3 linked regions of the Anolis sagrei genome follow. The protein of the gene in region 1 purifies or fractionates together with the protein of each later gene. This does not show direct contact. Links are inferred from orthologs where the notes say so. Each region holds a gene or a part of one and is shown in the gene's direction. Other genes may lie near its edges.

Region 1 (11,153 bases):
TAAGTTTCCACAGAATGTTATTGTATGCAGCTACTTTGTGCTTGGTGTTCATACAATGTTTCCTAAACTGTAGTTCCCTATGGATACAGAAAGTCCTATTATTCTGAGATTTTCTAAATTTGGCCCTGTAAATAATTTTTAATTGGCATGCAGATATTAAAAACAAGGAGGAAAAAAATCTCCCCACTTACTACTTTTTTATTACCCTCAAATATATGACAGGTTGATTAAAGAGCATCAGATAGTTAAATATATGTGTGTCACATTCCTTTGACAATCATTTTGTTCTGGATCAGGTAACATGCTTCTGTCTATTCAATTCCACTTCAGAGTGTAGGTGGATACTGGTTTGACTGAATGTTTATCTAATAAAATAAATGTTTGCCTTTAAAAAACTAACACATTGTGAAAAGACTACCCTAGAATTCCTCTAGTGTAATGGCTTGAGTTAGAGGACTATGACTCTGGATGCAAGGGTTCAGGCCCACACTTAGCCATGGAAACCCATTGAATAACCTTGGGCAAGTCACATTTTCTCACCCAGAGGAAGGCAAAGGTAAATGCCCTCTGAACAAATCTTGCCAATAAAATCCCATGATAGTTTCACCTTATGGTCGTTGTATGTGGGAAACAACTTGAAAGCACACAACACCATCTAGCATTCCTCTCTCTCATTTAGTATTCCATGTGAAGGAATGGTAATGATGACATATGGGAAACATTCAGCCAAGTTAGTTCACACCTGCAGTCTGAATACAGCCCACACAAAGATTATCTTCTCAGTTCAGAGATAGCCCTGAGCCTGGTTGACAGATTACAGATTAAAATGAGATAAAAACATTCAGAGATAGAATTCCTATAATTGCGACTCACAGGTGGCAAAATAGCTGTCTTCTCAAAATGGTGTGCCCCGTAAGGGTAATTGGCTGGCAGTTGTTGAAGATAGGGGACTGGACTAAATAATGCAGATTTCCTTCATATTGCCACACAGGGTGAAAATAATGCAAGTTCTGGAAACCAATAAATGATGTGGAGTTAATCTTTTAAAAAATGTTCTGAGCAGATCTTAAAAAAATAAGTTTTATGAACTAAGTCTTCCACCAGGCATGTAGCCGGCAAGGGGGGGGGGGGGCTTGAGGGGCTTACTGGTACATTATTTAAACTGTTATTTTATTCATATCATGATCTGATCACCATGCTCAATATATCCCATATGCATGGGGGTATTGGGGTAACGATACAAAAGGTTTGCTAGGGTAGACCCTCTCTCACTCAGACTCAGCTGCCCCCCAAAATCAAACTCGGCCCCCGCCCCCCAAATCAAAATCCTAGCTATGGGCCTGTCTCCCACAATGCTTGTTTTCTTTGTTTTCCAAGCTCTGGTTCCAACCCGACAAAATAAGTACCTTACCTTCTTTCTCTGGGATGGGCTCTGATGTTTTGGTCTTCAGATATTGTTTTATTCATGTCAAATCACCATTTTGTGTTCCAACCGTTAAAATTTGTAAACACTGGAAGTCATGTGATGACCAGTGTAGGGTTCTGTCCCCAAAACAGTCTGGCAGCATCCTGGAAAGTTGAATTTGGTGAATGTGATGAGGTCGCAAGTCCTGTTTGGCATCATTTAAGACATATATTGGACATATGGGTTGGGGATGAAATATACTGTAACATCTGAATCCTTTTGGTTGCAGGAAACAAGTCCAAGACTTCAATTTTCTTTTATTCTTGATCTACTACTCCTTCAGTGCTATGTCATTTACAATAGATATGATTTGTAGTCTCATGGCCAACAGGACAAATAAAACATAGTACTGTACTTGATACAGTAGGTAGAAACTCTATCTTTTAATGCAGGGTCAGGACCCCTGGGGGAGTTTACGAAGGGGTGTCAGAGAAGTCACCTAAGACCATCAGAAAACACAGTTTTTCTGTTGGTTGTGGGAGTTCTGTGTGGGAAGTTTGGCCCAAATATATCATTGGTGGAGTTCAGAATGCTCTTTGATTGTAGGTGAACTATAAATCCCAGCAACTACAACTCACAAATATCAATTCTATTTTCCCCAAACACCACCAGAATTCACATTTGGGCATATTGAGTTTTCATGCCAAGTTTGGTCCAGATCTATCATTGTCTGAGTCCATAGTACTCTCTGGATGTAGGTGAACTACAAGTCCAAAACCTAACGTCAATGCCCACGAAACCCTTCCAGTATTTTCTGTTGGTCATGGGAGATTTTGTTTGCCAAGTTTGGTTCAATTTCATTTTTAGCGGGGTTCAGAATGCTCTTTGATTGTAGATGAAATATAAATCCCAGCAACTACAACTACAAATGACAAAACCAATCCCTCCCTCCAACACCACCAGTATTCAAATTTGGGCATATCGGGCATTTATGCCAAATTTAGTCCAGTGAATGAAAGCACATCCTGCATATCAAATATTTACATTATGATTCATAACACTAGCAACATTACATTTATGAAGTAGCAACAAAAATAATTTGATAGTTGGGGGTCACCACAACATGAGGAACTGTACTAAGGAGTTGTGGCATTAGGAAGGTTGAGAACCGCTGTTTTAATATAAGTGCTACATGATGAGCAGAGCAATACATCCATCATACTTTTCTCCATCAGTACATCTTTATGGAATAGTAGGAGTACCAAATACTTTTCTCCTCTGGGGCTGCTGGCTTTTAAAAGATGATAACTCTGTCCATAGCCTCCATCTCATTTGTGAAAATATACTCCATAATATATGCCTATCCTATATCCAGAATCCTCTTTGACATGTTACCATGGTCATGAAATATAAAGGGCCACTCCACACATTCTAGCAGCTGGAATGAACATCAGAGCTTCGCCAACGTTTTCTGCAACAAAACATACGTATAACATGTTTGAGAAATTTGCCCAAATATTTTTATAATGAGAATAAAGTCTGATGTTTGATGTCTACATCCTGTGAATTTTCTGCTGTAGACTAACATTATAAGATATGGAAACATTCAACAGCAACAACATGAGTTAGAGTTAGGAACAATATACAAATGTGGACTTTAACAACAAAGTGTTTCTTTCCAACTATTGGGCATTTTAGGTTTTTGGACTATTAATTTCTGAATTCTATAGCCAGGGTTAAATGAAGCATTAGTCCAACCAGAGCAGATCCAATGAAATCAATGGAACTCATGTTGCTTGCGGCTAATGTCAATACGTTTATTTTAGTTGGGACCATCATTGGATTTCGCCCATTGTCTTCATCTGTGTTGTGTGTCCATGCACATAGGCACAAGAAGAGAGTTTTATGGCACCAAGAAGACTAATACATGTATTGTGGTATAAGCTTTCACAGATTAGAAACCACTTAAAGTGCATGACTTCACACCTCGATAAAGAGCTACAATCAATAAAAGTTTCTGCCACAGTAGGAGTTTTCCAGCACCAGGAAGATGTTATTTTTGTCTGCGTATAAATAACAGCACAACCTACTGCATGCTAAACCAGAATAGAGCTCCAGTGCTGATGTGAGAATCATGTGGCCCTCCAGGTCTTGGTGAACTTTAATTCCCAATAGTCCTGGGTAGAATAGCCCATTGCAAAGAATGTTAGGAGTTGCACTTCAAAGACTTCTGGAGAGCTACAAAATACCAATTCCCTGCTCTAATAAGTTCAGTGGATTTCATTAGCCAGTGCTTAGGTCTGCACCCTAATGGAAGGAACACATCCTCTGAAATTTTATATACACCTATCTTACCATGTGATTAATTGCATCCTTAAATTCATGAATCTCATAATCAAATACACTTTATTATAAGTACTTACAGTTAGTATCAGAGTTATCGCTGGTGGGTGGGGGCACACAAAATGAGGAGACTGTCCCTTTCCAGATAAGCATTCTGGCCCTGAAATGGATTTTTCCTCCATTCCCCAAAGTTCTTGTATAATAACACTTCCACATTTTTTTACTTTTGCAGATTTGGTTACTATTATCTCTGTAGCACTCTCTAGGCCCTACAGTATGATTCTATGGGCAATTTCCCACGAAAGTTAACCATAGTGTTATACCGAAGGACTTAGAAATACATACATACACCTCCATCCTATTCCAAAAGATGTACCATAAATGGTTCTGGACCAGCTTATCTATCTGAATGTATCTCTTCTTATGAACCGTCTAGGAATTTAAGATCTTCTGGGGGAGGCCCTGCTCTCGGTCCCACCTTCTTCACAGGTTCGGTTGGAGGGGATGAGAGATAGGGCCTTCTCAGTGTCCCTCCCTAGGGACATTAGATCGGCCCCCACCCTCTTAATATTTTGTAAAAAAGTCAAAACCTGGTTTTGTGAGTAGGCTTTCTCAAATGCAGTGTAGCAGATAACTTCTTGACCTCGGAACGACTGGACAATTGTTATCAGATAACAATTTTCGTACTGAGATGCAGAAGATTTATGCTTTTATTGATTTTACTGTTTATGGAATTTTATGTATGTTATATGCTTTTAGCTGTTTTTATATTATTGTGGCATCGATTTGTGCCGTTTTGTAAACCACCCTGAGTCACCCTCAGGCTGAGAAGGGCGGTATAGAAATATAGTAAGTAAATAAATGAATAAATTCCTGTTGTTCTTCCTTGAGGATAAAGGGTGCCCAGAATGCAGTTTGACTACCACATTCACTGCCATAACTCAAAGGCTATGGTATTAGTAGTAATATTAATAGTAGTACTATTTCACTATTATCTCTTTGATGATTGTGATGCAATGCGGCTGCAATCCTGGCAGTTGTTTGGAGAGGCCCCAACTCTCTCTGGCAGAGAAGACAAGACCTTGTAAAACTCCCATGATTCTATAGCACAACTTCCGAAGATGCCTGCCATTGATGTGGATGTAACGTCAGGAGAGAATGCTTCTGGAACATGGCCATACAGCCTGGAAAATGCACAGTAATCCAACGATTCCAGCCATGAAAGCCTTCGAGAACACAATAAAGGTGATGATTATTATTTGAAACACAACAAGATTAGTACACAGCAAACAAGATCATTATGCTGGTTGTTGTATTGGATCACACGTCGGACACTTCCCAAATGTCTAGGACTGTGTGATGTATCGGCGAATAATGCATGCAGATCCCAGTAAGGTGGCCTTCTGCAGCTGGCAGATGGCAATTTTGTCAGCGCCGATTGTGTTTAAGTGCAGGCCAAGGTCTTTAGGCACTGCACCCAGTGTGCCAATCACCACTGGGACCACCTTGACTGGCTTGTGCCAGAGTCTTTGCAGTTCGATTTTTAAATCCTCATATCGTGTCAGCTTTTCCAGTTGTTTCTCTTCAATCCTGCTGTCACCTAGGATTGCAGCATCCACAATCCATACTTTGTTTTTTAACACGATTGTGAGGTCAGGAGTATTGTGCTCCAAAACTCTGTCTGTCTGAATCCGGAAGTCCCAGAGGAGTTTGGCGTGTTCATTTTCTGTAACTCTTTCCAGCTTGTGATCCCAACAGTTCTTTGTTGCAGGCAGATGGTATTTGTGGCACAAGTTCCAATAAATTCTTGCAGCAGCTGAGGATGTGATCTATTGTTTCATCTGCTTCCTTGCAGAGTCTACATTTGGGATCTGTTGTCAACTTTTCAGTTCTGGCTTTGATTGCATTATCAAACTACAAGAAAGGAGATTCCATCTGAACATGAGGAAGAACTTCCTGACTGTGAGAGCCATTCAGCAGTGGAACTCTCTGCCCCAGAGTGTGATGGAGGCTCCTTCTTTGGTGGTTTTTAAACAGAGGCTAGATGGCCATCTGTCAGGGGTGCTTTGAATGCAGTATTCCTGCTTCTTGGCAGGGGGTTGGACTGGATGGCCCATGAGGTCTCTTCCAACTATGTTCTATGATGATGTTGATGATTATTATTATTCTTATTATTGACACAAAAGCACAGTATGTCACAGCAATCGAGATCTATATTCTGGATTTCATATCACAAAATCATAAGTCAAACACTTCCCAAGCATCTAGGCATTATTATTATTATTATTATTATTATTGAGTAGCTTTGCTGCTGCAAAGTGAGGGTATCTGCATAGATGTAGCTTGGCTGTTGTTCCTGGAGGCACCCTTTGTTTAGGCGGTGTTAACTAGCCATTAGTTGTTTGTTGTCTGGAATTCCCGTTTCTGAATGGCGTTCTGTATATGCTATCTTGATTCTGGTCTTTTCGATAAAATGATCCTAGCAGTTTGGGAAAGCCCAGGCAGAGAAGACTCAAGACTTTGGTCAAACTCTCTCCACTCCATAGCATGGAGAGATGGCAGTGAAAGCGGTGTCAAAGTGCATCCATTCCCCATTGTAGACGCCCCCAAAGCCAGGCGGGCCAAAGCTATGAGGGAGTGGAAGAAACCCTACTCTCTGGGTGCTTCTCAAACGTTTTCTGACCAAATTCAATGCAAAGGGGGAAAGGAGGGAACTGGGGGGAAAGAAGGCCGTCCTTCTGAGGGGAAGAGAGGAAGCCTCCTCTTGGGTTGAGAGAGGGAAAGAGAAAGGGAAGAAAGGAGGAGGAGGAGGCGGCGTTGCCACTCGCTCAGCCCTCATCCAGCCAGCCAGCCAGCCCTGCCTTCCCAAAAAGGGTGGGCCTTTTGGAGAGGATCCCTAGCTCTCGTGTGAGTGAGTGAGTGTGTGTGTGAGTGTGTATATATGTGTGTATGTTGTGTATTGGCAGCGGGGTAAGTGGAGGCTGGGTGGCTCCGACTCTCTGACGCCAGTGAGACCAGATCAATCCAGGAACAGCAGCGGCTGAGAAGAAGAAGGAGAAGGAGAGAGGGAGAAAGCAAGCAAGCAAGCAAGCAAGAGGGAAGGCGCAAAAAGCAGCAGCAGCAACATCCAAACGGGAGAGGAAAGAAACAGCAAGGAATCTTCTTGCCAATCTTCTCTTTTAGGAGGAAATCCTTTTCCTCCTTCCCCGCCTCGACTTACACACCGGTAAGCCCCATTCTTTGCTCTTTTTTCCCCCTTCTTCCATGTGCAACCCTTCCAGTCAGTGGCTGAATCTTTTCCCTCTCCCTCTGGGCAAGTGGGGGCCTTGCCTTGGCTCTCCTTCGAGAGAAAACCGGGTTGGAAGGGGGAAAGGGGACCCTGGGTGCTTTCCCAGCCTTCATGATGGCGGCGGTGGCGTTCAAAAAGAGCCTTCAAAACTTTTCCCCTTTGTATGGAGGGCCCTTTGTGGCTCCTCAAGGGAAAAAGAAAGAAAGAAAAGGTCGCTCTCGTTGCCTTCTCTCTTCAGGGAAGGAGATGCCGGGTGCCTCCAAACAACAAGGATTCCTGGAAGAGCTGAATCTTCCACGCTGTTACAGTTACACAAAAAGTTACAAGCGGTTTCCATCTTTTTCTTGTGTGTGTGTCTTCTCTTCCTGGAGAGGGAAGGGACATCATTCCTGGGGAAGAAGGGAAAGAAAGGAAAGAAAGCGCCCTGGGAAGGAGCCCCAGAAGGCCTTCACAGAGAAGTCCCGTTTGGATGGGGGCTCTTGTTCCCCTGCGGCCTCCTTTTGTGCCCAAAGCCAAGTCTAGGGAAACTTTTCCTGCTTTCCTTTCTCCTCCCGTTTCTCTTTCCCTCGTCGCCGAAGAGAAAGCAGCCCGGCCGACACAATGGAGGGGGGCTTGTCTCTCCCTTTGGGGTTTTTGAGGCACATGAAGCCAGCCCCCACCCCCATCCTCTTCTCTTTACTTAGGGCCCTATATCCCAGGATCTGATCCCAGGTTTTCTGCTTTAAACTGGATTATATGAGTCCACACTGCCAGCTAATCTGGGATAAACAGAAAAAACTGGCATCAGATCCCAGGATATAGGATAGGGCCTATTTGGAAGGGCCCTTAGTCCAAGCTTTGGAGCCTTTTCTTTGGGGGGTCTGGGAAAATGCAAGTCTTGGGGTGCATCTCTACACTATGGAATCAGTTTATTGTCGAAGGCTTTCATGGCCAGAATCACTGGGGTTGTTGTAGGTTTTTCGGGTTGTATGGCCATGCTCTAGAAGCATTCTCTCCTGACGTTTCGCCTGCATCTGTGGCAAGCATCCTCAGAGGTTGTGGGGTTGGCGTCAGTTGTTCAGAAGGCTTTCTTTTCAGTCTTTCTCTGCTGCTGAGAGAATGTAATTTGCCCAAGAATTTCCATGATCTAGAGTGCGTCTACACTGGAATTGATGCAGTTTGGCAACAATTGTTTCAGAAGGCTTTCCTTTCAGACTTTGCTTTCTTCTTTGGCCGAGAGAATGGAACTTGCCCAAGGTTCACTCCCAAGAATTTCCATGATCTGGAGTGCATCTACACTGTGGAATGAATGCATTTCGATCCCACTTTAACCACCATGGCTCAGTGATAGGGAATTATGGAAGTTGTGGTTTCTCTATTGCAGGTATGGGCAAACCCAGGCCCAGGAGCAGGATGCTGCCCCTTGGGCTCTTTTCTCAGGTCCTCCTCTCTCTCAACATCTTATGCTCCCTTCCTTCTGACTTTCTTTCCCCCCTCCCTTCCCCCTCTTTCTTGCTCCCTTCTTCCTTCCTTTCTCCTTTCTTCTCTCTTTCTCTTTCCTTCCTTCCCTTTTGTCTTTCCTTCTCTCTTTCCTTCCCTCCATCCATTCTCTTACACCCTTTCTTCTCTTCCTTCCTTCCTTCCTTCCTTCCTTCCTTCCTTCCTTCTTTCCCTCCCTTAACTCGCTCTTTTTGGCTCCCTCCTTCCTTTCCTTCCACCCTTTCCTCTGTCCTTCCTTCCCTCTTTCCTCCCTCTCCTCTCTCTCTTCTTTCCTTCCTTCCTTCCCTCTTGTGTTTCCTTCCTTCTCTCTTTTCTCCCTCATTCCCTTCCCTCTATCCATTCTATTCCACCTTTCCTTCCTTCCATCCTTCTCTTCCTCCCTTTACCTCAATCTTTCTTACTCCCTCCTTCCTTCCTTTCCTTCCTTTCCTTGCTTCTCTTTTGTCTTTCCTTCCTTTCTTTCCTCCCTCCTTCCATTCTCTTCCACCGTTCCTTCTCCTTTTCTTTCCTCCTTTCCTCCTGGGGGATGTTTAGGTGGGAGAAGAGAGGTTGAGAGGGAACATGAGAACCATGTTTCAAGATTTCCAAGGGTGTCCCACTGAGGAGGAAGGGGAAAACTGACTTTCTGCTGTTTTAGAGACCAGGGCACAAAGGAGCAGTGGGTTCAAATGGCAGGGAAAGCTATTCGACTGAAAAGATTAGGAAGAACTTCCTAAGAGTAAGAGCTGTTGGAGAGTGGCCTAGGCTTCCTGGGAGTGTGGTGGAGTCTTCTTCTTTGGAGGCTTTTCCACAGAGGCTGTCTGTCGAGAGTGCTTTGATTGTGCCTTCCTGCATGGCAGGGGGTTGGACTGGATGGCCCTTGGGGGTCTCTTCCAACTCTAGGATTTTATATCAGGAGTAGGCAATGTGGTGTCTAATGGATACACTTTTTCTCTCCAGTCCACCATCTCATCCTCACCAAGGCCAACCCTTATGGGATCCAAGTGTTTCCCATCTTTCCTTCATGTTTTGCTTCCGAAAGCGAAGAGGAAGGGGAGGAAAGGGCAGGGAGGAAACTTGGGGAGAAGCCCTTTCGGCCCACCCACCCACCCCACTCCAGCCCACCAAAAGGCCCCCAAGTTACAAAGTTTGCCCATGCTTGATCTACACTATGTGATGCAGTTTGACATCAGTTATTCAGAATGTTTTCCTTTCAGTCTTTGCTTTTCTCTGTGGCTGAGAAATTGTAACTTGCCCAAGAATTTCCTTGATCTAGAGTGCATCTACACTGTAGAATTGATGCAGTTTGGCAACAGTTGTTCAGAAGGCTTTCCTTTTGGTCTTTGCTTTCCTCTGAGTTGCAAAGCAGAAAGGAGAGTAGTTTTCTATTCCTTTGTTAGCAGTTGATGAAGCTGCATGTGAACTTGTTTAGATTTTCATTACCTGGTCTCAATATGAATTGCTGGTTTAATTTGAGGAGTGGCTTCAGGACACAATTGATCTTTACTATGGCTAAATATACATAAAATTAAGAGACACTAATTTTTGCTATATATTTCCAGCCGCAGTTGGTGCTTCCCTAGTGACTTAAATGTAGCTGTTACCCATAGGTTAAGAGTTTCTTGCTGAAAAGGCATATTGCAAACGGGTCGGAGGATGAATCACTCTTGAATACTAATAGAAAGCTGCTCTTAATTAAACTAAATGCACATCCGGAGTTTATACTTGAATTGCAGCCTCTCATGAAAATGCAACAATCTGTTTTAAATGTTCGAAGCTGTGCCCATTTACCCCATGCCACTCTGTCTGTATTCTTGTTTAAGGATTACAGCTGAGTAAATCTGTTTACCACTTCATCACACTAGAGAGAAAAAAATCACTTAAAATCTGCCTCTACAGAATTCTGGGATTTGTAGTTTAGTGAGACTGTTAAAGGCTCCTTCCTAAACTACAAACCCCAGAATTTTGCAGGAGGCAGAAACTGGATTTTAAGTGGATTTTTTCCTCTAATGTGATGATGACACTAGAGAAAAAAAATCAACTTAAAAAGATTTCTCTCCCAGTCATTTGGCTCCTGAGAAGATCACATTCTTTCAGACACTACCTTGAGCTTATGTGTGATTGTTGTTTTTTTCCTAAGGGTATGTTGCACCTAGAAACAAACAGCAGATATCAGCTGAAGACTGAAAAAGAACTTATCAGAACTTCTGTGTTGTCTGTTCCTCAAAAGGGGTTTGAACAGCTCAGGCCCTTGATAACAACGATACCTGGACCTTCTGTTCTCAAAGCATAACTAAATGGGTTTTCAGGACATGTTAATCGGAAGCTCAAAGGACCTTACAATGTGTCCTAGCTACCTCTCAAGATAAGATCATCTTAGTTCAAGGCCAGATTGGGTTACAAGGGTACTGATTTGTCCTTGTTTTAAGTCTGATCTTTTCTTTCCCTCTCACACACAAATGTAATCAAATACAGTTCTCTTCTCTGATATCTATCTTCCTGTTTCTGAGATCACACACACACACATACATATGATCTGGTGACTTGAAATACCTTGGAAAAGCATTTAGAAAGGCAAGGACAATATAGACCAGTCTTCTCTTGGTGATCTCAGATACACTGGATTGCAATTTCTATCATCCCCAGACAGACTGAAGA
Region 2 (10,486 bases), on another chromosome or scaffold:
AACATGGTTAGAGTGTGGAACTGTGACTTGAGGGATCCAGGTTCAAGTCTCTGCTATGAAATTCACCGGTAGACTTTGGATCACTCTCTACATTTCATCTTCAGTCTCTTCTCTAAAAGGCTGTGACAATAATTGGGGGGGGGGGGGAGGAGATGGGATATAAATGTAACTAAACAAAAAGGGCACCTACTGCGTTCGTATCCCAACCCCAAATGGGACCCCTTAGCTCAATGTTGGAGTCATGAAACTTTTTCAACAGTAAGTGTCTGAACGCCACACATTTACACCAATCTGTTAGCAACAAGGTGCAGCATTCACAGTGGACTTTGCCGAAAATGCTTCAACTGTACTCCACAAAAAGGAAAGTTAGCCTATTTAGCAAGTCTTGCAAATGCTGATTCATCAGCAAATCAGCTGTTGGAATTTGAGAAGACCCATCTCTCCGGATAGGCCTATCCAATCAATTTTCACTTGTCAATTTTAACCTGCATTTTACCCGTGTATATTTGTTATATGTATTTTAATAGTTTTATCATGTTGTATCCCACCTCAAGCTGTGAGAAGAAGTGGTTAATAATTATATTATTATTACATTATTATTATTATTATTATTATCATCATCATCATCATCTATTTTATAAACCTATATACCTGAGGTAACAAACATTTCCCAGGCAGAAAGTGGTTGCAAGCATGAAAAGTTGAAAAAGTTCATATATGCTGACACTGTTCCCATTATTTGAGTTGATATATGTTATCACTATTGCCATATGAATATAGAAAACAGTTCAAATTAATTAATTCACATTCTGGCAGAGGGAAAAGTTTTAATGATAATATAACAACCTTGCTATATCTACTGCATTACAAATGCAGAAGCATGTTGATGCAAAATGGTGAGATACTGTAATTATAGTATTTAGCGATGTTGTGCTAAGTATTATAGCATTTTGGAATGGTATAGAAAGCTAGTAAAAGTACAAAGGACTACAAAGGAGAGTGGCCTGCAGTTTATTTATAGAATACAGTCACATTGGTCTTAAATGGTACAATATTATTTTGCAATATTGCAATGGAGTTCAAGCTAGGACAGCAGTGGCTACCAGTTAGTTTTAAAAGGCATACTACAGACGTTTTACAGAACTACCAAAACAGAAATATTTTCTATAGGCTATTCATACAAGGTATTTTTCAGAGAAAAAATAGACTGTTTAGATCTGTTATAAAAACAAATTATTTCAACACGAATAATTTTTTGAAATGTATTATTTACATTGTACGCACTGCTTAAAAGCAAATAAATATAAACATTTAAACACCACACAAAAAGTGAGGATTACAGGTTTGCCAAAAGGATTTTGAACGTTTTGTGGTTCAGGAGGTTATATGGATTGGGGAAAATGACCTTGTTCATGATTTTATGGTAAAATAGATCCAAATGCATCAGTGATCATGCTGTTAATATAAGGTGGTGCATGGTTTGCAGGACCATTCTTTTTTAAATTATTTCCTCAATCATGTCCAAAAACATTCTTGGATCAACTAACTTAGAAAAATTGATGTTTACTTTTAGATTAAAAAGCATATTATTTTACTGACACAAAAGCACAGTATGTCACAGCAAATGAGATCTATATGCTGGATTTTGTATCAAAAAATCACAAGTCAAACAATTCCCAAATGTCTAGGACTTTGTGATGTATTTTCGAATGATGAGTGCATATTATTATTATTATTATTATTATTACTTATTTATATCCCACTTTCTCCAAATAATGGGACCCAAGGTTAACTACTTATCAAAATAATACAAGTTAAAAATAATACAAATATGTTGCTGCTACCAAACCACAATAGAGATTTCTGGACAATACTGTTGTCACATGGTAAAAAAAAGTAACTTTCAAAGTTTGCTTCAGTTTTTTTTGTTCTAAAGTTGTTGCTGCTGATGGTAGTGCAGTGCAATAAGTGATGATGGGAAAATGTGCAATGACAATTGGAACGGCTTTTTGACTATGATTTTGGATTGTGTTTTTTAATAATGTGTTTTAATTTTATATGATTTTTAAATTCATGTTTTAATGTATATATTTATTTTATGTCTGTTGTGTATATGACATCAAATTGTTGTCTTTGTAAGGCCGCTCTGAGTCCCCTTCAGGGTTGAGAAGGGTGGGGTATAAATACTGTAAATAAATAAGTACATGGTTGATAACATAAATAGAATTATCTTTACCTTCACACATATCTTTTTAAAACAAAAAGGACATATTATTACTCTATTTTTATCTTTAAAATATGTATAAGCCATTTCAAAGAAGACAAACCACAAAGCATGTTTATTTTTAAATCTGCATTACAGAACTTGTCACACCATATCTCAAAAAACAAAAACAAAGAAATAATCCCAAATAAAACTGCAAATAGGTCTAACACACAAACACACAAGCTATACAGAAGCACAAAGATTAGTGTTTATTGGCCTTAACGAATGTAATGTTCACTCATATTAGGGAAATTATTTAAATTATTTAAACATTCAAGATTTAGGTTGCTGGAAGAACTGCAGATTTCAAAAATATGTCAATATATAGCTTACAGCTTTGTTTAAGAAAAAATGTATCTTCTATTCCAAGCTTCAAAGTACCTTCCAACCGTGGTTTCCTTACCAATATTTCCAAGCAAGAAAAAACACGCTCGGAAATACGCTGATGCTCCCTAAATAAATTTATTCCATCTTATATACATTTACATATTCATTTACCTAGCAGTAAGTTACACTGAGAGCCAGCCTGATATAGTCATGTGAGCAGTGCATTGGCTTTATTTTAGAGTAGAACCATAAAGAATTTCACTGTAAGTCTCAAAATCCATCTACATAGAACCATAGAACAGGAAGAGACTTTGTGGGCCATCTAGTCCAACGTTCTGCCAAAAAGCAGGAAAATTGCATTCAAAGCACTCTCAATAGATGGCCATCCATGAGGATGGGTTTATTTCCAAGTATCATTCCTAGTATCAAACTATAACAAGTAAAAACCCAAAATTGCTGAACAAATTTTTTAAAAGCATCCAGTCCAAATGTCATGCATATTTGATAATATACTGTACATACATATGTATAATATCCAGTTTTTGATTGTATCATTCACATCTGAGCCATCATTTAAATTAGTTAAATTTAATTATGTGAATTTATAAAAAGATCCTTACTGTGGCCCTCTTGAAATGCCTGATGATTGTTAAGTGCAAGGGAGGCAACTGTTATGTAATCTAGAACAGGGCTTCATAAACTTTTTTCCACTCGTGACCCCTTTTTGGGTATATAGGTATATAAAACAGGTATATAAATCAAATATTTACTAATAATAAATCAGCATTTACAAGGCTTGCTAAACAGGCTGACTTTCCTTTTTGTGTACAGCTGAAGCATTTTCTGCAGAGTCCACTGTAAAAACTGCATGTTGTTCCTAACAGATTTGAGTAAATCAGTGGGTGGCATTCAGAAACCTTTTACTGTTTTTGTGATACCAACATCGAGCTAATGGGGTCCCATTTGGCACCCGGACCCACATTTTAGGAAGCAGTGTTAAAAAGCTGGTAACTAATGGTTCAGTTTGTGAAAACTAGTTCATCCAAACCTGCCATTAAAACTATGAAGTACAGTAGAGTTTCGCTTATCCAATCTTCGCTCATCAAACAATTTTGTATTATCCAACACAGTCTGTCTTCCGCCCAGATCCACAGCTGTTTCAATACATTGCGATGTTTTGGTGCTAAATTCATAAATGCAGTAATTACTACAGAATGTTACCATGTATTGAAAACTGTTTTTTCTGTCGATTTGTTGGAAAACATGATGTTTTGGTGATTAATTTGTGAAATCATAACATAATTTGACGTTTAATAGGCTTTTCTTTAATCCCTCCTTTTTATCCAACATTTTCGCTTATCCAACGTTCTGCCAGCCTGTTTCTGTTGGATAAGCGAGACTCTACTGCACCAGGAGTAATAGGGACAAAGATTAGATAATTTGTCAAAGATGTTTCTAAGTTCGTTCTAAACACAAATGGGCAAATAAAAAATACCACAGTAAAGTATTTCTATTCTTTCACCAACATACCCAGTGGCACAATGGGTTCAACCCTTGTGCCGGCAGAACTGCTGACCGACAGGTTGGCGGTTCGAATCCGGGGAGCAGGGGTGAGCTCCTGTCTCAGTTCTAGCTTCCCATGCGGAACATGAGAGAAGCGTCCCACAGGATGGTGAAACATCAAACATCCGGGTGTCCCCTGGGCAACATCCTTGCAGACAGCCAATTCTCTCACACCAGAAGCGGCTTGAAGTTTCTCAAATCGCTCCTGACATTTTTAAAAAAAACCTACACAATATAATTTAATTCAACTTGAGGCTTAAATCCTAGGCAGATTCACTTTTTAATGATGGGCGTGAATATAATTAAGTAGCCTTTGGTAGATAATTGCATTCTAGCCCATTTTAAGAGGCCATATAAACATACACATCAATCTGTCCAGGCAGGACAAATGAACCAGATTCGCATTCACTTTCAAAGAGAGCATTCCAATTACTTGATACTTGCTTGCCAAAATCTGCTTACAGTAAGCGCTGTTTTTTCTTCTTTTTTTTTCTATAATATACTAAGTATATAATTATTTGGCATTAATTTTAATATTAAACTCTTTCTATTCTATATCCTCCCGTTCTCCATTTTAAAATGTAGATGTTACCATATGTATATGACAAGTTTTGTACGGAACAGAAAAGGTTGACATATAATTGCACTTAATAAAGCTGCCATCTAGCCTTGGGAGCACGTAACCTAGACAGACATGATTTAAGGTTTGCAAAAGAATCCCCAGACTAACACTTTGGTGACAGCCAATTACAGACCCAAAACACAGCCTCAGTAAGCTGTCTGCTAGTAGGACTTGAGGAAAGGTAAAGTTTCTTACAATGAGTTACAGATTCACAAGCAGAGGAAGAGAAGAAAAAGAAAAACAGAAGGAATCCAGCAAATCTGAAGCAGACCCCAAGATCATGATAGAGCCCAAAGATGTAAATTACTGTAAATCATCACTGTTGTTCAGAATTTCACACAGACATTTGTGCCAATTCTGGCATGCTTCTCCACGGACACAATTGGGATGGGGGGGGGGGGGGCTAGAAAGAAGAGAAAAAGAGGCAGGGAGAGTATAAACGAAGTTCTGCTGTCCATATGCTTAAACAGCACAGGGGTTTAGGCTGTTTCAGCATTTTGTATGCCCTCCAAATCCTCATGAGTCATAAAATTTAAAAAGCTATATCCTTCTGGATACCAGGAAGGACCTTACCACGGGCCTTTTGTCAGACTTTCAAAAGGGGGAGGAAAGAAAAAGCCACAGTGCTGGGCAGTCCCACTTTACTTGACTACTATGATGTCACCAACCACATGATTCTGTCTCTCCAGTAACAGTGCTTGCAAAAAAAGGGATTTTTAAAGCTTTTGCTTTTTTGGATTGTGTGAATGCTTCATTTGCCTCACAAACAACCACAGAACCACAAGTGCGGTGCAAACTTTCTCCAAAAGGACACAGCGAGAAGCCTTTGGTTTTTAAATGGTTAATCTCAACAGGTCACCAGCAGCCACTGAGACCAACAGAGTCAGTAAGTACTCTCAAACCACAGTCTATTCAGTAATAGTAGATCTGTCTAATATTTGCTTATCCCCCCTCCTTTTTTGGAATTGTTTTGTTTCTTTGCTTTCTGTAGCATGTTACCCATCCTGCAGAATTTTTTGACACAGAAGAGAAATATATGCACCCTGGGTATGCTGTAAAAACTAAAATCAAGCTTGGCTATGGTTTGTGATTTCAGTTTAAGGCTTCAGACAGTTTTTGCACCAGAAGATAATCGCATACTGTGTGGCAGAGGGGAGAGCGATGGCATCAAACAGTCTCTTCGGCTCAGTGACACCTTGTCAACAAAACTTCTTCTGGGGTAAGTGACTGCCAAATGCTATGAAATATTGCTGATACCAATGAACTATGCATTACCTATTTCTGTTTAAACTGATACTGTTGAACATAGTGGAAATAGAACTGTGTATAACATTGTTGTTGTTTTTAAATACCCAGAATAGTACTATTTTACTATGTCTACAATTCCTTGAGCTACAGGTGTGCTCTTCATTATGCAATTCTCTGAATAATCAGGCACCTATATGGAAAACTTACGACTGCTGAAGTCAGCTTTACAAATATAGAGTTACAATGTGGGCCATCAATATTAAACCAACTGAATGAAGGCCCATCAGCTTTTTCATTTATTAAATTTATTAAAATAGGTATATCCCACGATATATTAACAAACTTCAGAGCGACAGAATTCTTCAAATTTGTATCATCACATTGCAATCAAGTCATATAGAAGACAAAATAGACGGATCAACGTAGATCCCGATATTTTGTTATAATAAGAAGGCCCCATACTCCACTGCGAACAATGCATTAGCACAGAGAAACTATCCTTCTTTCCATGTAAATAGATGTGACAAATTTCAGAATAATTTATGTTAAGGATCACAGTTGTTGGCAAATTTGTGTACCTAACCTGACTTATAATGTATCAATTCATATTCTCAATGTTATAAATGTATTTACAAATATACTAAAAGTTAAAGGAAACACATTATGCTCTTCTGAAAAGATTAACATACATACGGAGATCTTTTTTGCAAAACAGAATGATGCAGATGGATGTGATACCTCCAATGTTGCAAATGTTTTTGAAACCTTTGCCAATGCCTCTTTTAAAACAGACGGCTTATAATATCATCCTAGGATAAGACGTAAACTCAGCAAAGGCACTGAATGAATGCAGTCCACGAGGAAAGTTCCCAAGCTGTAAAGCAGCACCTCTAACAACCCTTTGATCTTGGCCATCTAGGATCTGTTTTTGAAATTATGTCAGTAACATATATTAATACCACATGAAATAAAAGACTGCCAAATTTTGTTTAAGAATACATAATACGACTAGGAGTTTTATACAGCAGGCAGCAGTGCTGAGATCTTTAGCTTCTAAAGATACAGTTGTCTAAACCCCAAAGGATTTTTGCCCAGCAGCCAGAGAGGTGTTTTTCCTTCCTTGGAAATACTACAAACATATTTTCAAAAATGTCTAAACAAGATCAACACAGAGACAGAGGGGAAAAAATCAAAACACTTACAATATTCCTTTAACGTTGTCCATCTGGTTCAAAATTATACCGAGGCTGTAAGCTAATAAATTTCCCTTTTTCTTTTAAGGGGGGGGGGGGGGCAACGGGGACCTGATTGATGCTTGAAATGCTTTCAGTGCAGGCACCCACCTTGTCTTCTCTCTTTAGCTGATGGCCGGAGTTCCTTTTACCCCTCCTACTTCACACGTTTCAACTGGCTCTTGTCGAAACATATGAATCTAGTGCAATCTGCGAGCACAATTAGATATGAAGCAAGGCTTGTACTCAGGGAACAGAGGGGCCTGTGTAATTTCTGATATCCAAAGACATTTGAATGCATTATATAGACCTCTGCCTCAAAGCTGACTTTCTGAAAGTTTGTCACACTGAGCTACACCGTAATTAGGCAACCAGCATGCTAAAATGTGGCACAGAAGGCCAAGGCTTTTTAGAATAGCAAGCATTTTTTTCAACCCAAACATCTACTTTAATGAAGCACAGCATAAAGGTAGCCAGACCACATTATTCCAGCGTTTATAACAGGAAGAACAGTTTACACGTACAGGGACTTTCTTTAACATCCAAAAAGAAATAACAAGAAGTTTAGCTGACAAAATTATATCTTGGGTTAACTGTTTAATTTTTCTCCTTTGGGTCATTCTTTAAATCACCAGAAAATGTCTAGGCCACGGAAAAAATCATCCTTCCAAATCTACCACGTTGAAATAAGACTGGCCAAGGAAATGGCCAAACAATAATAAATTTTCAGGTCAAAATATTAATAGCTCTTTACAATTTTGTGGTGGCAATATTTAGTTAAAGGTTAAAGCTGTTTGTTGTTGTTTGGTAGCTGTTTCAAAAGAGTAATATAAATATCTTAAGTCATTTACAGCTAGTATATGTCCATGAAAAGTTCTGATTCATGCCAATGGGAATGCATCAGTTGCTTTACTGTTCCATTCAGCAATCTCTTCTAATCAGCAATGGCTTCCTTGTCGGCCAAATTATCACCTGTCCATTAGAATGAAGACCATTATTGTTGGCTAGTAAATAAGCTAGTAATTTCCACCATTTATATCCAAGAGAGATTTAGGTAATCTTTTTTAAAAATCCGCATGTACTTATGGCAGCAAGTGTATTTTATATCATTTATTTGTAACTCATATTATAAATGAATGCAAATTCAGTATCTGAGGCCTTGATCTAGATTACTTATAATTTAGCCGGTTAATTTATTGTGCAGGTAAAAGCAGCAATAGCACATTTACTCTAAACATACCAAAAATATAGAAGAGGAGTTAATTTAAATGAAGAAGCCCACTATGTGCTCTTGTGCTGCCCCTATTCCTTTCAATGGACCTAGTGATGAAGATCAGGCCAGACTGAGGGCCCTTCCACACAGCTATATAACCCAGAATATCAAGGCAGAAAAATCCCACCATATTTGCTTTGAACTGGGATATCTGTGTCCACACTGCCATATATTCCAGTTCAAAGCAGATACTGTGGGATTTTATTCAGCTGTGTGGAAGAGGCCAGAGCCCATACTTTACTCCTGATCTTCCAAATGTCACACAAGGTTAAAAAAATGCATGGGTGAGATGACCAAGTCGTTCCTCTGTTTCATCTTCTTCATCTCTTGCTACTTTTAACAGAAATTGTCCAACATACCAATTGAAAAGATAGCTCACATTTCTGGGAATCCAAATATTATGGTACATTACCTAACAATGATTAGGTACCATGATTAGACAAGTCAAAATAAATCACACAATTGTTTTTTTAGATGGTGTCATGTATTGATGCACTCAATATGCTTTCCCAAATATATAAACATATGTTCTGTGAGTTATATGAGTCACTCGTGTTATTTACTCCTTTGAGAAGAGTCACAGAGCACTTAAGTAAGTACATTGCTATATTTGTATCAGAAGTTTCAGGTGCAAAATCACCTGGTAAAATATTTTGTAGCAATTTAAAATTGTGATAAGGGGAGAACATATTGAACACTTCCAATCAGAACCAAGTCTCTTTCTGCCAGAATGTTTTTACTTCACATCTTCTGAATCCACAGTCATCTCAAATACTGTATAGGCAATGAATGAACAGGTCTGCATATTGATCCCTTAAGTAATAATATTCCTCTTATTATTCAAATGTCACAATCTTATGAAAATTTGCCTAAAAAGAAAACACTTTCTAGTTAGTTGACAAGAACACTAAATATTTGACAGTTAAACACACAAGTAAGTGAAAAAAGCAAATTCATTGGAGAAGCTAAGATTTTATCAGGCATACAGGATTAATCTTTATTGAATAGCACCATTCACAAATCAAAACTTACTCGACTTCAGTACATTCAAACAGCGCTAATCAATTACAACCCTTTTCTAGTGATTCAAAATCCATGTGCTTTTAATTTTATACTCTGGTGGTCTAAACTATAGGAGCGAAGCTGAGCTTAGTCAGTCCGCATAGAAACTTTTCCTTTTTTTCCAATAAATATTCATCTAAACGTTTTCTTAGAGAAAGCTACTCATATGAAATCTGTGGTAACATTTTTATACTGTACCTCCTTGTTGAAGTAAAGGTTAGGGGTTATCAAAATACCTCAACTGTATATACAAAAAATGAGAGGAAAAGTTAAGTATTCACACACAAAAATCCAAGGGAACTATATTATTTATTTTTGCATTTCCTATGATTAATGGTGCACCAGTGCATACTTGAAAAGTGAAGTCAAAGAAGGGGTAACACCTCAAATTCTTTTATAAACTGGGCAAATGTCAAATCTGGTAGGCTGCCTTAACTAGCCTACCAGAAATATGAAATGGCCCTGCCACCCTATTTTAATAGCACTACCAAAAACCCTCACATGTGCTATAATTTGTTCAGAGGTGGTCTTAGAATTGATTTGCTTCAGAATACTTTAAATCAGTATTCTTCAATATTTAAAATTGCAGCATACAAAGGCTCAATGTCATTTAGAATTCCCCCGTCAGCAACATCTAAAAAATAATAAAACGCATACATGGTAAATAACATTTAGTGCTTTAAAGGCTCCAGAAAGGAAGCAAAATTATCTTAGGTTCTGCAGGTTGAAAAGAATGACAGGGAGAGAAAATTTAACCCACAGAGCAGACTCAAAGTTAAGAAGAGAAAGCACACCTAAACTTTTGAAAGAACATTTTTTGCCAGAACTGCAATTCAACAGTGAAACAAACTGCCTTAAGAGGCTGGTGGGCTGTCAGTTTTTGGAAGTCTTAA
Region 3 (10,843 bases), on another chromosome or scaffold:
CCCAGTGTGGAACACATCTCACCACACTAAAACAGTGGATGTGGCTCTTAATGAGACATGCCGCATTATCACGGGGTGTCTGCGCCCCACACCACTGGAGAAATTACACTGCTTAGCCGGTATTGCACCACCTGACATCCGCCGGGAAGTAGCAGCCAATAGTGAAAGGACCAAGGCAGAGACATCTCCAGCTCATCCCCTGTTTGGGTATCAGCCAGCACGTCAACGACTTAAATCAAGACATAGTTTTCTTAGATCGACAGAGACACTCGCTGGAACACCCCAGCAAGCGAGAGTCCAAAAGTGGCAGGCCCAAACCCAGCACCTCAATTCATGGGTGATACCAGATGAGAGACTCCCCCCTGGGCACACAGAAGACTGGGCAACTTGGAAGGTGCTGAACAGACTGCGCTCTGGCACCACGAGATGCAAAGCCAATCTTAAGAAATGGGGCTACAGGGTGGAATCCTTGGCATGCGAGTGCGGAGAAGAGCAAACCACTGACCACCTGCTGCAATGCACCCTGAGCCCTGCCACATGCACAATGGAGGACCTTCTTGCGACAACCCCAGAGGCACTCCAAGTGGCCAGAGACTGGTCAAAGGACATTTAACCAACTACCAAATTTGCAAAATTTGTGTGTTTTTTTCGTTTTTCTTTTTAATCTGTGTGTTTGCTTTGCTCTGTTAGAATTGTAATACAATGGTTGCTGATGACACAATAAATAAATATAAATAAATTAGTAATATTACATGTACTATAAATATATAATTATAATATCATATGGTGATTATTAGTTTTATATTGCATTGCATTATAGTATTGTAAATAATCTGTACACAATGTGTTGTCGAAGGCTTTCACGACCGGAATCGGGTTGCTGTGAGTTTTCTGGGCTGTCTGTCCATGTTCGAGAAGCATTCTCTCCTGACCTTTTGCCCACATCTATGGCAGGCATCTCCAGAGGTGGTGAGGTCAGTTGGAAACTAGGCAAGTGAGGTTTATACATGCATGGAATGTCCAGGGTGGGAAAAAGAATGTTTCAATTGGCCGCCTTTATTAGCATTTAATGGCCTTGTAGTTTCAAAGCCTGGCTGATTGCTGCCTGGGGGAATCCTTCGTTTGGAAGTGTTAGCTGGACTTGATTGATTCTTGTCTGGAATTCCCCTGTTTTCTGAGTGTTGTTCTTTATTTACTTTCCTAATTTTAGAGGTTTTTTAAAAATACTGGTAGCTAGATTTTGTTCATTTTCATCATTTCCTCCTTTCTGTTGACATTGTCCACATGCTTGTGACACTGAAATACAGCAGCTCCTGAGCTCTGCGAGTGCAGCATTTTTCCAAATGAAGCAGAGAGTGTTTGAGGTCCAGGACATCCGTTGGGATACCAAGGGACTTGTTTATAAAGCTATTGTCCTCCCAACCCTGCTATACGCCTGCAAAACGTGGACTGTCTACATACATCACGTTCAACTCCGGTCCAGTGTACCAGTCTGAACTTATCTTCTTCTACAGCCCACCTTGGAGTTTAAGATCTTCTAGGGAGGCCCTGCTCTTGGCCCCGCCTCTGTCTGAAATACACCACCATCCTTTTTCCATGGTGAACTGGATATTCACCATGTTGAGTTCTTCTTCTCCATGGCTCCAAATAGTGAAAGTTCATCCACATATCTGAACCATATGTTTGGGTGGATGCTATTAAGATGGTCCAGGAACCTGTTGAGTTCTTCTTCTCCATGGCTCCAAATGGGGAAGGTGTCATCCACATCTCTGAACCATATGTTTGGGTGGATGCTATTAAGATGGTCCAGGAACCTGTTGAGTTCCTCTTCTCCATGACTCCAAATGGTGAAAGTGTCATCCACATCTCTGAACCATATGTTTGGGTGGATGCTATTAAGATGGTCCAGGAACCTGTTGAGTTCCTCTTCTCCATGACTCCAAATGGTGAAAGTGTCATCCACATCTCTGAACCATATGTTTGGGTGGATGCTATTAAGATGGTCCAGGAACCTGTTGAGTTCCTCTTCTCCATGACTCCAAATGGTGAAAGTGTCATCCACATCTCTGAACCATATCGTGGGCTTTTTTGTTGCTGTCTCTAGGGCTTGTTTTTCAAAGTGTTCCATGTAGAAGTTAGCTGAGAGGGCTCCCCATAGCCACTCCATCTTTCTGTTCGTAACTTCTTTGGATTGCCTTAGCTTTTGGGCCATGTTCTTGGCTTCCGGGGACTCTGTCTTGCTGTCATGGAATCTTGTTTGATCAATGTTCTTTGGATTATGCCTCAGGCTGTTTGCTATTTTGGGACTTTTGCATTTAAGACTTTTCTTTTCTTCAATAAACTACAACATCTTCAGCCTTTGTGTGGTTTGGTGTTTGGAGCAAGGTGACTCTACTCTGAGCTGCGACACATTCAGTGGTTCCCTTGATATATGGTGAGAACACTTTTCCTCTAGTTGGGCTTTTGTCTTGACTCTTGTGGCTTGTTCTTGGCCTTGCAGCTCTTCTGACGTTTGTGGTGGAGTCTCCATTGGCCTGGAGAGCCCAGTTGACGTGTAATGGTGGACCACTCTCACAACCACCATGTCAGACTACACAGAGAAGCCACTGAAATCCATAAACATGTCGATAATGTCAACAGAAACCATGAAAATGAACAAAATCTGGCTGCCAGTAGTAAAACAAATATGTCTAAAATCAGGATAGTAAACAAAGAACAACAATCAGAGTCAGCTAACACCTCTCAAAAAAGGATCCCTCCAAGAACGCTGCAATTCAATGCCATTCAATGCTCCACGAAGGCAGCAGGCAGCAATCAGCTGCAAGGCCATTCAATGCCAATTGCAACATTCACACTTGCCTCCAGCAGACAAGAGTTCTTTCTCTCACCCTGGACATTATTCCATAGATATATACACCACTCTTGGGTTTGGAGTCTAGTGTCTAGATCTAAGGAAGCCATGCTCCCCATGCTCTATTCTGCTTTGGTTAGACCACACCTGGAATATTGTGTACAATTCTGGGCACCACAATTGAAGAGAGATATTGGAATGTGTCCAGAGGAGGGCAACTCAAAGGATCAAGGGTCTGGAGAACAAGCCCTATGAGGAGCGGTTTAAAGAGCTGGGCATGTTTAGCCTGAAGAAGAGAAGGCTGAGAGGAGATATGATAGCCATGTATAAATATGTGAGAGGAAGCCACAGGGAGGAGGAGGGAGCAAGCTTGTTTTCTGCTGCCCTGGAGACTAGGACACAGTGGCTTCAAACTACGATTTGATGTTTAATTGTTGATGATGCTATTGTTTTAACTGTCCCATAATCCTTTTATGATATTTTGCATTGTATTTTTGCTGCTGTTAACCGCTTTGAGTCGCCTGAGGGCTGAGAAAAGCGGTATATAAATGAAGTAAGTAAGTAAATAAATAAATACTAGGGCTGGGCGGTTTCGTTCGTTAATTTCGTACTTTGTTAATAATTCATATTTAAATTGGTTTACGATCCGATATTGAACCATTCAGGAGCAACTAAAAATCGAAACGAATTTTTAAAATTTATTTCGTAATTGTTTCGTAATTGTTTCGTTATTATTTCCGTATGTCTGGTGCAAGTTTTATAGTTGTTGTTTGTTTTATCAGTGATAAAAAAATAAATTATTTCACCAACAGTCAACAACAGAGGGAGAGGGAAGCTTCAGAAATTCCCCCTGTCCCATTTGGAGGGTTTTTTAGCGTATTGTGCAATCGCGTCCGCCATTAACGAATCGATTCGTTATTGTTTCGAAATTGTTTCGTAATTTCCGAAATTTCGTAAATTTTGAACTTTTTTAAAGAAAAATTTCAGAATTTTTTAAAAAAACGAAATGCAACCCCCCCTAAAAACGAATCGAGTTTAGAAACAAATTTTTTCGTGGTTGCCCAGCCCTAATAAATACAAGAAAGGAGATTTCATCTGAACATGAGGAAGAACTTCCTGACTGTGAGAGCCGTTCAGCAGTGGAACTCTCTGCCCCGGAGGGAGTGTGGAGGAGGCTCCTTCTTTGGAAGCTTTGAAACGGGCTGGATGGCCATCTGTCGGGGGTGCTTTGAACGTGATTTTCCTGCTTCTTGGCAGAACGGGGTTGGACTGCATGGCCCATGAGGTCTCTTCCAATTGTATGATTCTAAGAATCTTGCCTTGCTTCCAACAAACCTCACAACCTCTGAGGATGCCTGCCATAGATGTGGACGAAGCGTCAGGAGAGAATGCTTCGGGAACATTGGACATAAAACCTGGAAAACTCACAGTAATGTTTGGATTGTTGTCGGTTTTCCGGGCTATATGGCCATGTTCCCGAAGCATTCTCTCCTGACGTTTGGCCTACATCTATGGCAGGCATCCTCAGAGGTTGTGAGGTCATGATGTTTGGTTAACTAGAAAGCAATACGCTTGATGGTCACGAGGGGGCAGACATGATCCATTTTTATATGTCTTCATTGATAATAATATCATAATATATAATCCCTATTCACAAGCCAAACTGAGAGTCTAAAGTTTCAGCCAGGTTAGATGTTTGATTTGTGAAATAGTTGACTGTGTAGTTGTTTTGAATGGGGAGGCAATCCTCAAATCTGAATTGAAAATATCTGAGCGCTTGCTAGATTATAAAACTTACAGTTTTTATATCTAGGGACGGGATTGGGTGGAGGAGGAATTCAACCTTTGGCCTTAAAACTAAAGAGAAAGGCTGAGAAAAGGAGCCTAACGCGCCCGCCCGCCCGCCTTTCCTTCCCCGGCGGAGCCTCCTGTGAACCAAAAACTTTATCAAACGTTCGAACCAGTGCGCATGCGCGCCTGTATATTGGCTTGTTGCTGAGAGTGGCGAGGAGGGAGGGAAGAGGAGGAGAGGGCGGAGCCTCACCCAGGCCCCGCCCCCTATCGGAAGAAGCCAGATTTTGGGAGGGAGGAGGAGGAGTGCAGTTAAGGCCACGCCCCCTTTCTCGTAGCGTGCACGCGCTGTCGCCCCGAGGAGAGGGAGGCGGAGGGGAGAGTTTGGAGAAAGAGGAGGAGCACAGCGCACAGGCCACGCCCTTTTCCCGTGGTGCGCACGCGCCGAGGGCTGCCCGCCGAGAGGGAGGCGGAGCATTGCCGAGGCTCCGCCCTTGCTCCGCCCTTTTATTGAGTGGGAAAGCGGCGGAACGGAGGCGGAGCGATTAACAAAGCCCCGCCCCTCAAGCCGCCAGGAGGGAAGGGGGCGGAGCACAATTCGAGACCACGCCCCCATATTTTGCTCCGCCCGCTTTTGCGTAGCGGAGGGAAAGGAGGCGGAGCGAACCTCGAAGCCCCTCCGCCATGCAAAAGGGGCGGGGCGATGGCTCAGTGACAGGGAAGGGGGAGGGAAGGGAGGCGGAGCGAACCACGAGGCCCCGCCTCCTTTTGCGAGGCCGGGTGTTTAGCGGGAAGGCGTGGCTTAACACGAGGCTCCGCCCTCCTCTCCTTTTGCTAGGCCGTGTGTTCAGAGGGAAGGCGTGGCTTAATACCAGGCCCCGCCCTCTGCCTGCCCCTTTTGCGAGGCCGGGTGTTCAGAGTGACGGAAGGCGCTCCATCTAGTAGCCCCGCCTCCTTTTGTATTAGGGAGGAGGTGGAGCGAGACAAGAGGCCACGCCCCTTACGCAAAGAGTAACAGGGAAGGCGGGGCCGAACTTGAGGCTCCGCCCCCTCCCAAAGGAGTGAGAGAGGGAAGTCTGAGGAAAGGGAGGCGGAGCGAGACAAGAGGCCACGCCCCTTACGCAAAGAGTAATAGGGAAGGCGGGGCCGAACTTGAGGCTCCGCCCCCTCCCCGAGGTGTGAGAGAGGGAAGTCGGAAGTAAGGGAGGCGGAGCGAGTCAAGAGGCCACGCCCCTTAAGTATAGAGTAACAGGGAAGGCGGGGCCGAACTTGAGGCTCCGCCCCCTCCCAGAGGAGTGAGAGAGGGAAGTCTGAGGAAAGGGAGGCGGAGCGAGACAAGAGGCCACGCCCCTTATGCAAAGAATAATAGGGAAGGCGGGGCCGAACACGAGGCTCCGCCCCCTCCCAGAGGAGTGAGAGAGGGATGTCGGAGGAAAGGGAGGCGGAGCGAGACAGGAGGCCACGCCCCTTACGCAAAGAGTAATAGGGAAGGCGGGGCCGAACTTGAGGCTCCGCCCCCTCCCCCGAGGTGTGAGAGAGGGAAGTCGGAAGTAAGGGAGGCGGAGCGAGAGAAGAGGCCTCGCCCCTTAAGTATAAGGCGGGGCCGAACACGAGGCTCCGCCCCCTCCTCGATGAGTGAGAGAAGGAAGTCGGAGGAAAGGGAGGCGGAGCGAGAGAAGAGGCCACGCCTCCTACGCACAAGGAGGCGGGGCGACGTCTCATCTTCTAAGCTGTCAAGAAGAGTAACAGGGAAGGCGGGGCCGAACACGAGGCTCCGCCCCCTCGAGCTGTGAGGGAAGGAAGTCGGAGGAAAGGGAGGCGGAGCGAGAAAAGAGGCCACGCCCCTTACGCAGGGAGTAACAGGGAAGGCGGGGCCAAGAAGAGAGAGGAGTGAGGGAGGGAAGTCGGAGGGAAGGGAGGCGGAGCGGGAGAAGAGGCCACGCCCCTTACGCAAAGAGTAACAGGGAAGGCGGGGCCAAGAAGAGAGAGAGGAGTGAGAGGGACGTTCGAGCGAAGGGAGGCGGAGCTGAGCACTAAGCCCCACCCCTTTCTTGCTCCGCGCGTGCGCAGACGCAGCGGCAGCATCTCGGCGCCGGAGCTCCCCTCAGTCTGTCCGGAGCGGGCGTCGGAGGAGGACGTGAGGCGGAGGAGAAGGAAGAGAGAGAGGGGGCGACTCTCCGTTATTTACCTCAGGATTTCCCAATTGGACCCGGCTTCTTCTTCTTCTTCTTCTTGTATTATTATTATTTTTTGAGGGGATTGTTCAATTTCGGAGTGTGCCTGGCGATGTTTTTTTCCCCGGTGAAGGCCGCGTGAGGAGAACTTGGATCATGAGAAGGAGGCGCTGAGGGTGAGGATGGTGAGGCGAGGCCGCGGCCTGTGAAGGAGTGAGTGGAGCCTCCCGCCTGGCCGGCCTTGCTCGCTGCCTCTGCCCCGAAGATGGAGGCCGTGACGCGGGGGGGCTTCCACCCTCACCCGGGCTTGCAGAAGACGCTGGAGCAGTTCCACCTCAGCTCCATGAGCTCCCTGGGCGGGCCGGCCGCCTTCTCGGCCCGCTGGGCGCAGGAGATCTACAAGGGGGGAGGCGGCGGGGGAGGCCCCGGGAAGGAGGGCGCGGAGCTGCTGGCTCCCCCTCCGCCGGCGCCGCCCTCGGGCCCCTTCTTCCTGCCCTCGGACCGCTCCACGGAGCGCTGCGAGACCGTGCTGGAGGGGGAGACCATCTCCTGCTTCGTGGTGGGCGGAGAGAAGCGCCTCTGCCTGCCCCAGATCCTCAACTCCGTCCTGAGGGACTTCTCCCTCCAGCAGATCAACGCCGTCTGCGACGAGCTCCACATCTACTGCTCCCGGTGCAACGCCGACCAGCTCGAGATCCTCAAGGTAAGGACGCGGAGAAACCTCCGCCAGGCCTGGGCCCACTTGGGCCCTCCCTCCAGGGGGTTGGGACTACAACTCCCACCATTCCTAACAGCCTACTACAACTCCCACCATTCCTAACAGCCGGGCCCTCCCTCCAGGGGGTTGGGACTACAACTCCCACCATTCCTAACAGCCTACTACAACTCCCACAATTCCTAACAGCCGGGCTCTCCCTCCAGGGGGTTGGGACTACAACTCCCACCATTCCTAACAGCCTACTACAACTCCCACCATTCCTAACAGCCGGGCCCTCCCTCCAGGGGGTTGGGACTACAACTCCCACCATTCCTAACAGCCTACTACAACTCCCACCATTCCTAACAGCCTACTACAACTCCCACCATTCCTAACAGCCGGTAGGCTGTTAGGAATGGTGGGAGTTGTAGTAGGCTGTTAGGAATGGTGGGAGTTGGAGTCCCAACCCCCTGGAGGGAGGGCCCAAGTGGGCCCAGGCCTGGCACATTGCAATATTATACATTGGATCCTTGCTACTACAATATTATCATCATTATATTGTATTATTATTACATAATAATAATTGTATTATTATATTGTATTATTAGTACTATGTTATATTATTCTTGTTATTCTTATGTTGCATTATTAGTGTTATATATCAATATTATTGTATTATTAATATGACATTATTCTTGTATTAGCATTATATTACTATAATATTTCTATTATTATATTGTAATAGTATCATGTTATTTTACTATTCATCTTAATAATACAATAATATTAATATGACATTATTCCTGTATTAACATTATAGTACTATAATATTTCTATTATTATATTGTAATAGTACCATATTATTATATTATTCATATTAATACAATAATATTAATATGACATTATTCTTATATTAGTATAATATTACTATAATATTTCTATTATTATATTGTAATAGTATCATATTATTATATTATTCATATTAATAATACAATAACATTAATATGACATTCTTGTATTAGTATAATATTACTATAATATTTCTATTATTATGTTGTAATAGTACCATATTATTATAATATGGTACTACAACATAATACAAATAATATAGTAATATAATGCTAATACAAGAATAATGTCATATTAATAATACAATAATATTAATATATAACACTAATAATACAATACAATATAATAAAATGGTACTATTACAATGTAATACTAGAAATATTATAGTAATATACAAGAATAATGTCATATTAATATTGTATTATTAATATGACATTCTTGTATTAGCATTATAGTACTATAATATTTCCATTATTATATTGTAATAGTACCATATTATTATATTATTCATTTTTTATTATATTTTGTATTGTGTTATTAGTATTATATATATTATTGTATTAGTAATATTACATTATTCTTGTATTAGCATTATATTACTATAATATTTGTATTATTCTATTGTATATTAGTACTATATTATTATATTATTCTTGCATTATTATTATATTGTATTGTTAGTATTATACGTTATTCTTCTATTAGCATTATATTATTATATTGTATTAGTATTATATATTAATATAATATATTGCTATCCTGTAATATTATTAGTAACATTGCATGTATTATACAATATATTACATTATGAGCAATGCACAATATTAGTATGCTATCTTACTATGTTTTACTATACCACTATACTGCAATTTGATTAGTAGTATTATATGTAACATAATATACAATTATTATATTGTATTATTAGGATTATATTGTATTGCATTATGATAGCATCAATATTATATGTGTGTACAATATATTATGAGCATAGCATATAATATACAGTTATTATTAATATTATATTAAATTATAGTATTATCAATATTAGATGTATATAAAATATATTATGAGCACAGCACAATATTAGTATGGTATATTACTATATTGTAATATACCACTATATGGCAATATTCTTACTAATATTGCATGTAACATATAATATACCATTATTATATTGTATTATAATTAATATTATATTATTAGCATAGCACAATATTAGTATGATATAATACTATATTGTATTTTTTCACTTTATTGCAATATAATTAGTAATATTACATGTAATGTATAATATGCAATTATTGTATTATATTATAGCACAATAAATATAAACTCTCAGTATTTTATAGTTATTATTATAAAATATATTATATCATAAGCTGTAATATATATAAGATATATGTTCTATTATTAGCATAATACAATACAGTACTGGTATATCTTACTATGGTGTACTATAAAGCAATCTTAATAATATTACATCTAACATATAATGCAATATTATTAGTAATATAATATAATGCAATATTATTAGTAATATTACGTCTAACATATAATGCTCAATTACTATATTATATATTATTATACCACAATATATATAATTCACTGGCAGTATATTATACTATTAGCATTATAGAATATATTGTGCTATATCATTAGGTGTAGTATATATAAGATATTAATAATAATATCCAACTATTATACATTATGTTGCACTATATTATTATACCACAATATATAATACACTACCAGAATATTATTCTATTAGTATAATAAAATATATTGTATTATAAGTTGTAGTATATATAAAATATGCTATTATTAGCATAGCACCATATTAGTATGATATCTTACTATATTGTACTATAGCTCTGTAGTGCAATATTATGTGTAAAATGTAATATATAATATAAAAATTATATTATTATGACACTATATATGCTATTAGTATTATAGAATATATTGTATTATATCCTAAGTTGTAGTATATATAATATATAAAAGGCATGGGCAAACTTCGGCCCTCCTTCCAGGTGTTTTGGACTTCAACTCCCAGAATTCCTTACAGCCTAACAGCCCTTTCGAACTCCCTTCCCATTGAGATGAAAACTGTCCCTTCCCTGTTATCTTTAAAGAACCGGTTGAAGACCTGCCTGTTCAAGCAAGCTTTTGACACATGAATTCAATTGCTAATGACAACAAGGTCAGTTTGCACAACAGCAACAACAACAACAACAATAAATCTATTTGCAGACTGCCCTATCTCCCCAAAGGGACTCGGGCGGTCTGCAAATAGTTTTTATTATTTCCAACATATATGGCAAACATTCAATGCCAGAAAGGAAAAACATACAAACAAATTACATCAAAACAGGCCACATCAAGCAGTATAAAAGCCACCGAACGTTAAAGTTAAACAAGAATAACTGGCAATGAAAACTCAAATGACCCATATAAACATACACGCTTAATATACATTTA

Evidence for each region.
Region 2: the proteins of SMAD1 (region 1) and RUNX2 purify together in Homo sapiens (affinity purification with western blotting; 3 studies listed by BioGRID). This does not show direct contact. The link is inferred for Anolis sagrei from reciprocal best matches to the Homo sapiens genes SMAD1 and RUNX2.
Region 3: the proteins of SMAD1 (region 1) and SKI purify together in Homo sapiens (affinity purification with western blotting, with the first as the bait; 3 studies listed by BioGRID). This does not show direct contact. The link is inferred for Anolis sagrei from reciprocal best matches to the Homo sapiens genes SMAD1 and SKI.

What each region holds. Positions count from the first base shown.
Region 1 is NC_090025.1:47,267,604-47,278,756, forward strand, and holds the start of SMAD1 (mothers against decapentaplegic homolog 1), read left to right. Parts: upstream 1-6,532; 5' UTR 6,533-6,974; intron 6,975-11,153. UniProt on the Homo sapiens protein: Transcriptional modulator that plays a role in various cellular processes, including embryonic development, cell differentiation, and tissue homeostasis.
Region 2 is NC_090021.1:148,149,773-148,160,258, forward strand, and holds the start of RUNX2 (runt-related transcription factor 2), read left to right. Parts: upstream 1-5,445; 5' UTR 5,446-5,664; intron 5,665-5,874; 5' UTR 5,875-5,939; coding exon 5,940-5,997; intron 5,998-7,228; coding exon of another isoform or gene 7,229-7,251; exon of another isoform or gene 7,252-7,291; intron 7,292-7,369; exon of another isoform or gene 7,370-7,426; intron 7,427-10,486. UniProt on the Homo sapiens protein: Transcription factor involved in osteoblastic differentiation and skeletal morphogenesis. Essential for the maturation of osteoblasts and both intramembranous and endochondral ossification.
Region 3 is NC_090033.1:1,175,520-1,186,362, reverse strand, and holds the start of SKI (ski oncogene), read left to right. Parts: upstream 1-6,725; 5' UTR 6,726-7,081; coding exon 7,082-7,519; intron 7,520-10,843. UniProt on the Homo sapiens protein: May play a role in terminal differentiation of skeletal muscle cells but not in the determination of cells to the myogenic lineage. Functions as a repressor of TGF-beta signaling.